Linked DNA regions of Kluyveromyces lactis. The protein of the gene in region 3 binds, or shares a complex with, the protein of the main gene of each other region. Links are inferred from orthologs where the notes say so. Each region holds a gene or a part of one and is shown on either strand. Other genes may lie near its edges. The genes, in order: LSM5, LSM1 and LSM6.

Evidence for each region.
Region 1: the proteins of LSM6 (region 3) and LSM5 are in contact, whole or in part, in a crystal structure (PDB 4M78), measured with the Saccharomyces cerevisiae proteins. The link is inferred for Kluyveromyces lactis from reciprocal best matches to the Saccharomyces cerevisiae genes LSM6 and LSM5. Residues at the interface, in NP_010666.2 of Saccharomyces cerevisiae: Val11, Thr12, Phe15, Leu16, Asp18, Asn25, Lys27, Leu33, Met45, Glu57, Ser58, Asn59, Val78, Met79, Tyr80, Ile81, Ser82, Glu83, Gln84; in NP_011073.1 of Saccharomyces cerevisiae: Leu24, Arg28, Phe30, Val35, Phe37, Asp38, Asn42, Ile44, Glu50, Leu52, Val64, Met65, His67, His68, Gly69, Arg70, Met71, Leu72, Leu73, Ser74.
Region 2: the proteins of LSM6 (region 3) and LSM1 are in contact, whole or in part, in a crystal structure (PDB 4M75), measured with the Saccharomyces cerevisiae proteins. The link is inferred for Kluyveromyces lactis from reciprocal best matches to the Saccharomyces cerevisiae genes LSM6 and LSM1. Residues at the interface, in NP_010666.2 of Saccharomyces cerevisiae: Ser30, Leu32, Tyr56, Leu64; in NP_012411.1 of Saccharomyces cerevisiae: Ala158, Arg159, His160, Gly161, Val163, Asp165.

What each region holds. Positions count from the first base shown.
Region 1 is NC_006041.1:902,639-904,756, forward strand, and holds LSM5 (RNA-binding protein LSM5), read right to left. Parts: upstream 818-2,118; coding exon 563-817; downstream 1-562. Other genes in the region: IPT1 (inositolphosphotransferase), read left to right, coding at 1-319; PAA1 (polyamine acetyltransferase), read left to right, coding at 1,730-2,118. UniProt on the Saccharomyces cerevisiae protein: Component of LSm protein complexes, which are involved in RNA processing and may function in a chaperone-like manner. Component of the cytoplasmic LSM1-LSM7 complex which is involved in mRNA degradation by activating the decapping step.
Region 2 is NC_006041.1:1,348,068-1,350,565, reverse strand, and holds LSM1 (Lsm1p), read right to left. Parts: upstream 1,210-2,498; coding exon 670-1,209; downstream 1-669. Other genes in the region: KLLA0_E15181g (uncharacterized protein), read left to right, coding at 1-330; FMP46 (putative redox protein), read left to right, coding at 1,827-2,216; DUF5427 domain-containing protein MTC1, read right to left, coding at 2,285-2,498. UniProt on the Saccharomyces cerevisiae protein: Component of the cytoplasmic LSM1-LSM7 complex which is involved in mRNA degradation by activating the decapping step.
Region 3 is NC_006041.1:232,623-234,901, reverse strand, and holds LSM6 (U4/U6-U5 snRNP complex subunit LSM6), read left to right. Parts: upstream 1-1,499; coding exon 1,500-1,742; downstream 1,743-2,279. Other genes in the region: GTPase-activating protein RGA2, read right to left, coding at 1-385. UniProt on the Saccharomyces cerevisiae protein: Component of LSm protein complexes, which are involved in RNA processing and may function in a chaperone-like manner. Component of the cytoplasmic LSM1-LSM7 complex which is involved in mRNA degradation by activating the decapping step.

The DNA.
Region 1 (2,118 bases), about 670 kb from region 3:
TATTCTAGAGTCCAAATGGCTCTACATTTTCCATAAAGGTCTGTTACCAAAATTTTTGGGTACGATTTTCGTATGCTTACAATGGTGGTCAACCCAATATTTGGATCACCATTTCAGATACGATTTATTCGTCGGTGCCGTTTATGCTGTAATCTCATACATCTTGATCAACAAATACGTCTTGCAACCAAAAGTTATCAAGCCTTGGCTAATAACCAGGGCTGATCCTACCTTGGACAAAATGAAAGAGTCAAAAACTATGGGTATGAGAGTTTTTGAAAACACTAAGATCGAATGGTTTTTCGATCCCTTGGCATGATATAGTTGAACAACAAAAATCAACAAACCTTCGGATACGGTATATCAAACGTCTCGTACGTTTGCATTGATTCATTTTTTGTATAAGCTGCACTTCAATATGATAATTATTTTACATATAAAATATATAATATATACTTACAAAGGATGTTAGTCAATATATCAATACCAAACATCTGAGAGAGAAAAAAACAGCATGCATGTTACAGATTTCGTTTTGAACATCAATATGCAGTTCCATTGTTTAATTTGAAGCAGGTTTTCCACCAGGTATCAACATAGCAATGTTGTTACCAGTCAATAACATCTTTCCCTGGAATCTTTTAATCTCCTGGTCTTCCAAATACTCTACCGCATTTTCAATGACAACATTAACGTAATCATCGAACCCTACTAGCGTACCAAAGAATTCTCTGTAATCTTTAAGTAGAATGGTCACTTCCTGTCCTATTGTTTTGTCAATGACCTCTAGGGGCAAAATCTCTGAAACACTACTCATATCCCGTCGTTTTATAAATATGTGTTGATGCAGTAGTAGAGCAGGAGGTTTTAATAGTCTAATGATACTAATAGACAGTAGTTGTCGTCAGCTCACAGCTTTATCTCTTTGATCAAAGGTACTTATTTCTTGAAACTTTCAAAGCTCTCTCAATATGTGATTGTATGGTGAAAGTAAGCGTAGTTGGCCGAAAGAAGGCAATAAAGTAAAGAAATGAGCCCATAAAAAGCCTTAAAAGCTGCTACAAGGTAGGCCAAGAATGTTGTATCTATTGGCATCGACTTGATGGTGCTGTTGGCTACAAAGGCTTAAACAACATGCAATTTCGCTAGGAACGGACGGTACGGGTCACATGACATCTCACTAAACACGAACATCAGGTGTCCCTGAGACACTGTTCACCAGCTGTGATGATTGGCGTTCTGGTCCAAGATTAAGCCTCTGGTGACCATTCAACTTGCCAGTCCGGTATTTACAGGTTCTGTCAACTTTAGATTTGGTTATCACTCACAAATTCCTACCAAGTGGTGCGTAATTTCTATATTCTTGCCGCAACTGTTGTTTCTCCTTTGTACAATATCAAAATAACAATTCAATTGCAATATCAATCATATATACTAAGGTTTTACATATGATGATAAGGATAAGGATAACAAATACATATAGACACACATCTCACAAGACTATCACTTCCGTTATTGAGCAGTTCACAAAGACATCATATCTGTCTAACACTAGTTGATAAAATCAATTGGTCTAGGAGTTGAATACCATTGTTGATAATAAGGTTCGATTGATTTTAGAAGCAAACTAGAATAAGGAGCAAATAATTGTATTATTGTGGCTAGAATTGAAGAAACAACATTAGGAAATCATTATTAAGTATTATAAAATCAGAAAAGAATTTTCACTATGTCATCGTCATTGCCACTGCATGTTTATATTAGACCATTAACGATAGAAGATTGCCAAGCATCAGTAGAGCTAGAGGCACAAGGCTTCCCACCTGAAGAAAGGGCTGGAAAGGAGAAGATCGAATTCAGATTGAAGATGTGCCCCGAATTGAGCTCGGGTCTTTTCATTAGAGACGTTAAAGGCACTGAGATTTTGGGAGAAAAGTTGATTGGCCATATCTTTGGTACCAAGATCCCCATCCCAAAAAACGGTACCAAGGAATTAACTTTTATTACCAACGAAAGCATGAGTTTCACACAAGACGATTCTTCTCCTGTCATTGGAGTGCATTCTGTCGTCATTGCTCCACAACATCAGAAGAAGAACCTAGCTACTCTACTATTGAC
Region 2 (2,498 bases), about 1.1 Mb from region 3:
GAAACCTGTAAGCTGCTTTGTTTCAACGCGGCAATCAAATGTGATTACGAAGGTGTAAAAGCGGCAAGAGAAGAAATTGGGATGGTGAAAGCCGTGACACCAAAGGAAATCTCGTCACTGGTGGATTGGTCTATCCAGTTGCATGGATGTTACGGACTCTGTTCAACACAAACACCCTTGTCACATATGTGGCAAGTGAGTCGATCGCTAAGAATTAATGATACGCCGGACGAATCATTAATATCACAACTGGGGAGGTTGGAAATCAGTAATTATAACAAATTTCAAAAGACATACGATCAAGAATTAACGACGCTCGCTGGCAAATGAGTTGATCCGTTAGTTAAGAATTAATTTTGACCGTTATAATGGTTCTATTTTATGTCAAATGGGGATTATTGTCCCATTAATTTTTTTTTTTTTTTTTTTGGAATGCCATGCCGCGCTATCTATGCATTTTACTTATTATGAATAGTACAGTACCGAACCATATATAAGTGAATATATATATCTCTATGTGATATATAATTGAGTATCAAAAGATAAATACCCTTCAAAACCACACGATCTCCAGTTTGTGTAATGATTTAGTTTAGTTTAGTTTAGTTTCGAATTGTATGTTTTACGATTTTTTTTTGCTTGTCTTTTAAACTAATTATAATCTTATACTTAATACAAATCACCTTTATTGAAATCGGTAGTTAAACCAAGCTGCGCTAGTCTCTTACCCTTAGCAGTGTTCTCCTTGTATTTCACCTCGTCCATTTTCTCCTTATAGCTTTCAGCTTCCTCAAATGGAACACGTTCCATCGATTCCAATGGTGCATCCTCCTTATCGATGTCTACTTCGCCCAACATAACAACGTTTTCACCTCTTATCATGAAAACTCCTCTGTCACATTCACCATATTTATTCTCACCCTCGATATATATTCTTTCCACCGTATGCTGTAGTATTAAGTTGGCATATTGATCAAACGTCCTTAGTACACCGAAGAACATACGGCCATCGCGCAATAGTACGAATATCTTGCGGTCTACTGAGCCAACAATGGCAGCTGTAGTTGTGAAATTGTATTGGTCCAAATATAAATCTGCTTCACCTTCTGATAGCTTGGACTTAGGACGATTTTCTTCCACATCGGAAGCCACTGGTTCAGTAACTCCTACTGAACTTGCTCTGTCGCTATTCGGAGACGAAGAGGACATTTGTAATTTGAGACTCTGATTCTTTCAATGAGCAAGTGAAAAAAAAAAAAAAGATTATAATGAATTGTAAAATTCAACACTGATTGTGATAGTTCTGGGTATCACTTGAAGGATAAATAGGCCGTTAAAGCGTCCAACGATTCATCTTTTTGGCAGTTCATTGCAATTCCATTTGATGTTGAGCTAGCTGAAACGAATTGAAGAAAAAAAATGTATGGTAACGTTGAGGCAGGGTAACTATAGGATGACTACCTTTGCTACAGGACCGCATAGTCATTGCACAGACAAGGCACAAATGGTTAGCTTGATGATTCTGTTTCCAAGTAGGTGAAAGGTGCTGCCAATCCGGATACTAAGTAGGGACGTCATGACTCCGTATCATAGTATTGATTGCTGGATTTTCCGGGATTTTGTTTCCCTGCCATGCGTATTTGAGGGATAATAGTATGATTTCCAAAATGTACATATTTCAAAGATGTCTTAATTTAGTATTGCGTATATAAAGGCAGCAACAATTACTGGGGTGACCTGACTTAATTAGACTGAAGTATTTAACTGAGTAAAAGTTCGAATTTTTTATAGAGGGGGACATTGACAATCAGTATCTTCAATTCATCATGTCTATGTTTAAAACCATCCAATTTCAACCTCGCGTAGTGACATTATTCACACACAAATTAGAATCATCTCATGCTCAAAATCTTCTAACGGCATTAAAATCGAACCACAAGAACAAAATCAACATTGAAATATGCCAGAAATTCCCTACTAGAGATCAATTGGAATATTTGGCAAAAATTGATAAGCCCGACTTAATGGAACAGATTCCTAAGACGGAATCTCTTTTGAAAAAAGCTGCTGAGGATCCACTATTTGGGTCACCATTGCAGAAATGTGTCGAGAATGGGTCTTGGAATAAACAGACGAGCTTATGGGTTGACTGGGAAAAAGCTGTATTAGGCACGACGGTTCAATCGTTGAAAGAGAAATGGTTACCAAAAAACTGATATGGGAGTATAATAATGATGATTAATAACAGTAATTAGGGTTTTAAAATATGTATGTAAAAGACACTTCACAAATTCATTCTGCTTATGACGTATTGTTGGGCAAGAATACCGAAAGTTAGATCAAGACCTTCGGATATCCATGGTTTCACCCAATCACTTGGGTCGATTTTTTCTGTGGATTCCTCATCGCTTAGTGCATCGGATTGTAACCATTTGGCCCATTTGGAGGGGTAACCTTGGGATCTCACTATTAGCAAGATATCATTACTTATGTCTTTC
Region 3 (2,279 bases):
CTAAAAGTCGTTCATGACAAGTTATACAGAATAACCCTTTCTTTGTCTTTGCATACCTAAGATCGTTAATTTTTTCACCACATTTGCAACATTTGAAACATTCAGAACAATAAGCTTCATTCGATGATGCAAGAATGATAGCCAAATCATCGATCTTCTTACCGCAATTTTTGCATGAGTCCGAGCACTCGAAACATATGAGATCACTTGTACCCAGAACTAAGAAATCCGAGTCACAACTTAGAGGCTTATCACATTTGTAGCAGGAGAAACAGTGGGTGTGCCATCTATTTCCGCCTAATTCGTACGCATGACCCATAGTAATATGGTTCGTACAACGAACACATACTGACGTCTCAGCAGCCCCCTTCGGAGAGGCAGACATACGGTAATTAGTTTTGCAGATGTAGCACGCTGTGGAGGTGATGGTCTTGTAGTGTGTTCGTTTGTCCCTGGATCAATAACTTTTTGATCTAATGGATCAAAAGCTGAAAAGAAATCTAAGATTAATCTTCGAATCGAAAGTATAATAATAACAGAACACGCACAAAGAGCACGACACACCAAAAAAAAAAAAAAGTTAATAGAGAGATGTATTAGCAGCGGCTTTATACTATGATATTTTCTTGCCACGCACCGTTAGAGAGTACTATATAAGGGAAAAGAATTCCAAGCTGTTCCTCGTGGACGGAGTAAATTCCCTCAATATGAATGTTGAGATCGAAATATAGATACGAGGGTTCAATTAACTCAAGGAATGTTTTGATCGAGAGTGAATGCAGCCCTATCTTGTTAAAATCCGAAACGTTTGAAGCGAGTTGATATAAATAAATCGTGTCTCAATCTTGATTATATATATGTACAATCGGTCCTAACCAGTGCTAAATATGGAAGTCAATTAGATAGGGAAACGTAAACAGCACACCACGTCAATTATATTCTAGCTGAATTGATATAGCATATCTATCAGCTGCAGAGAGCCACTAAGGTAAATTAGTGCTGTCTCTCAACGGTTTCGAAATGTATATATGCATTGAAACAAAATCAGGAACCAGGTTTGAGAATGTTTGAACTATGTGGTGTGCAGGCGTGATTTGGAGTTCAGTTTCTTTGTTTCAAGGTCTTAGAGTTCGAAGATTTTGGCTAAAATTGGAGTCAAAGAATGCTGGTTGTTGTCGGAATGTATCCAGGAAGAACCTTTGACATTTGTTTCCAAGCTAGAGCAATATATTACTATAATCTGCGCTGTTCCCTTCCATTCATTTAATTAATTAATTTATTACTTACTGCATATCACTTAATTCACTTTACCACAGATCACGTGACTAGAACATTCTTTCCCTTTTACTTCAACGTGAACAATGAAAAGTGAACTTTGTTAATATAACGTTGAACTGATGGAGAATGATGAGAGTAGGTTCAGATGCAAGAACTACAGGCTTCTTCATATCTTTATTTCGACGCTACCAAATTTCAAAGGCATAGATTGTTAACACATCATGGAATCTAAGGCAACGGCTTCTGGCTCCTTTTTGGAGAACATCATTGGAAAACCAGTATACGTCAAGCTATTCTCAGGAATATTGTATCAAGGTAAGCTAGAATCAATTGATGGGTTTATGAACGTCACAATGTCACAAGTGTCGGAACATTATGAGGCAGAAGAGAACGGAACTTTGCATAAATATCCTTCTGAAGTATTTCTAAGGGGATCGCAGGTGTTATACATTAGCGAAAAATAGGCTTCGATTGGGCAATAAGATTGACTTCGACCAATGACTTTTGTAAGTCGATATTATAAAGTGTCCTATTTGCTCAGAAGCTCAATAACTACAATAATATGATAATACTAATAATAATTTATATACAAAAGTATATAATTGTATACTATAAAGATGGAACGTTATCAAAGCGGAAAGTGTTAAAAAATACTACGATGCACATATATAAAGCACCAAAGCATACATAAATTTAAATTCTGATTTTATTTTAAAATAATAAGAATATGTAGATATCTAATACAATAATAATATATATTAACCTTGTACCAGTGAGTTATACATTACTCTTTTCAAATTTTTATATCATGATTCTTAAAAGAGAAAATTTATTGTCATATCGTTAGAGAAAAGGAGATCAAAGAGGTTCCTTTCGTAGTTTCTTATTTATTCTGTGATAAAGAAAGCTTTCAGATCAAACAAACCGCGAACCTCATATCATGTTGTAGTTTTTTTTTGAGAATATATTAAAGAGAATAGAAGGTGGAACAAGTGAGGGCT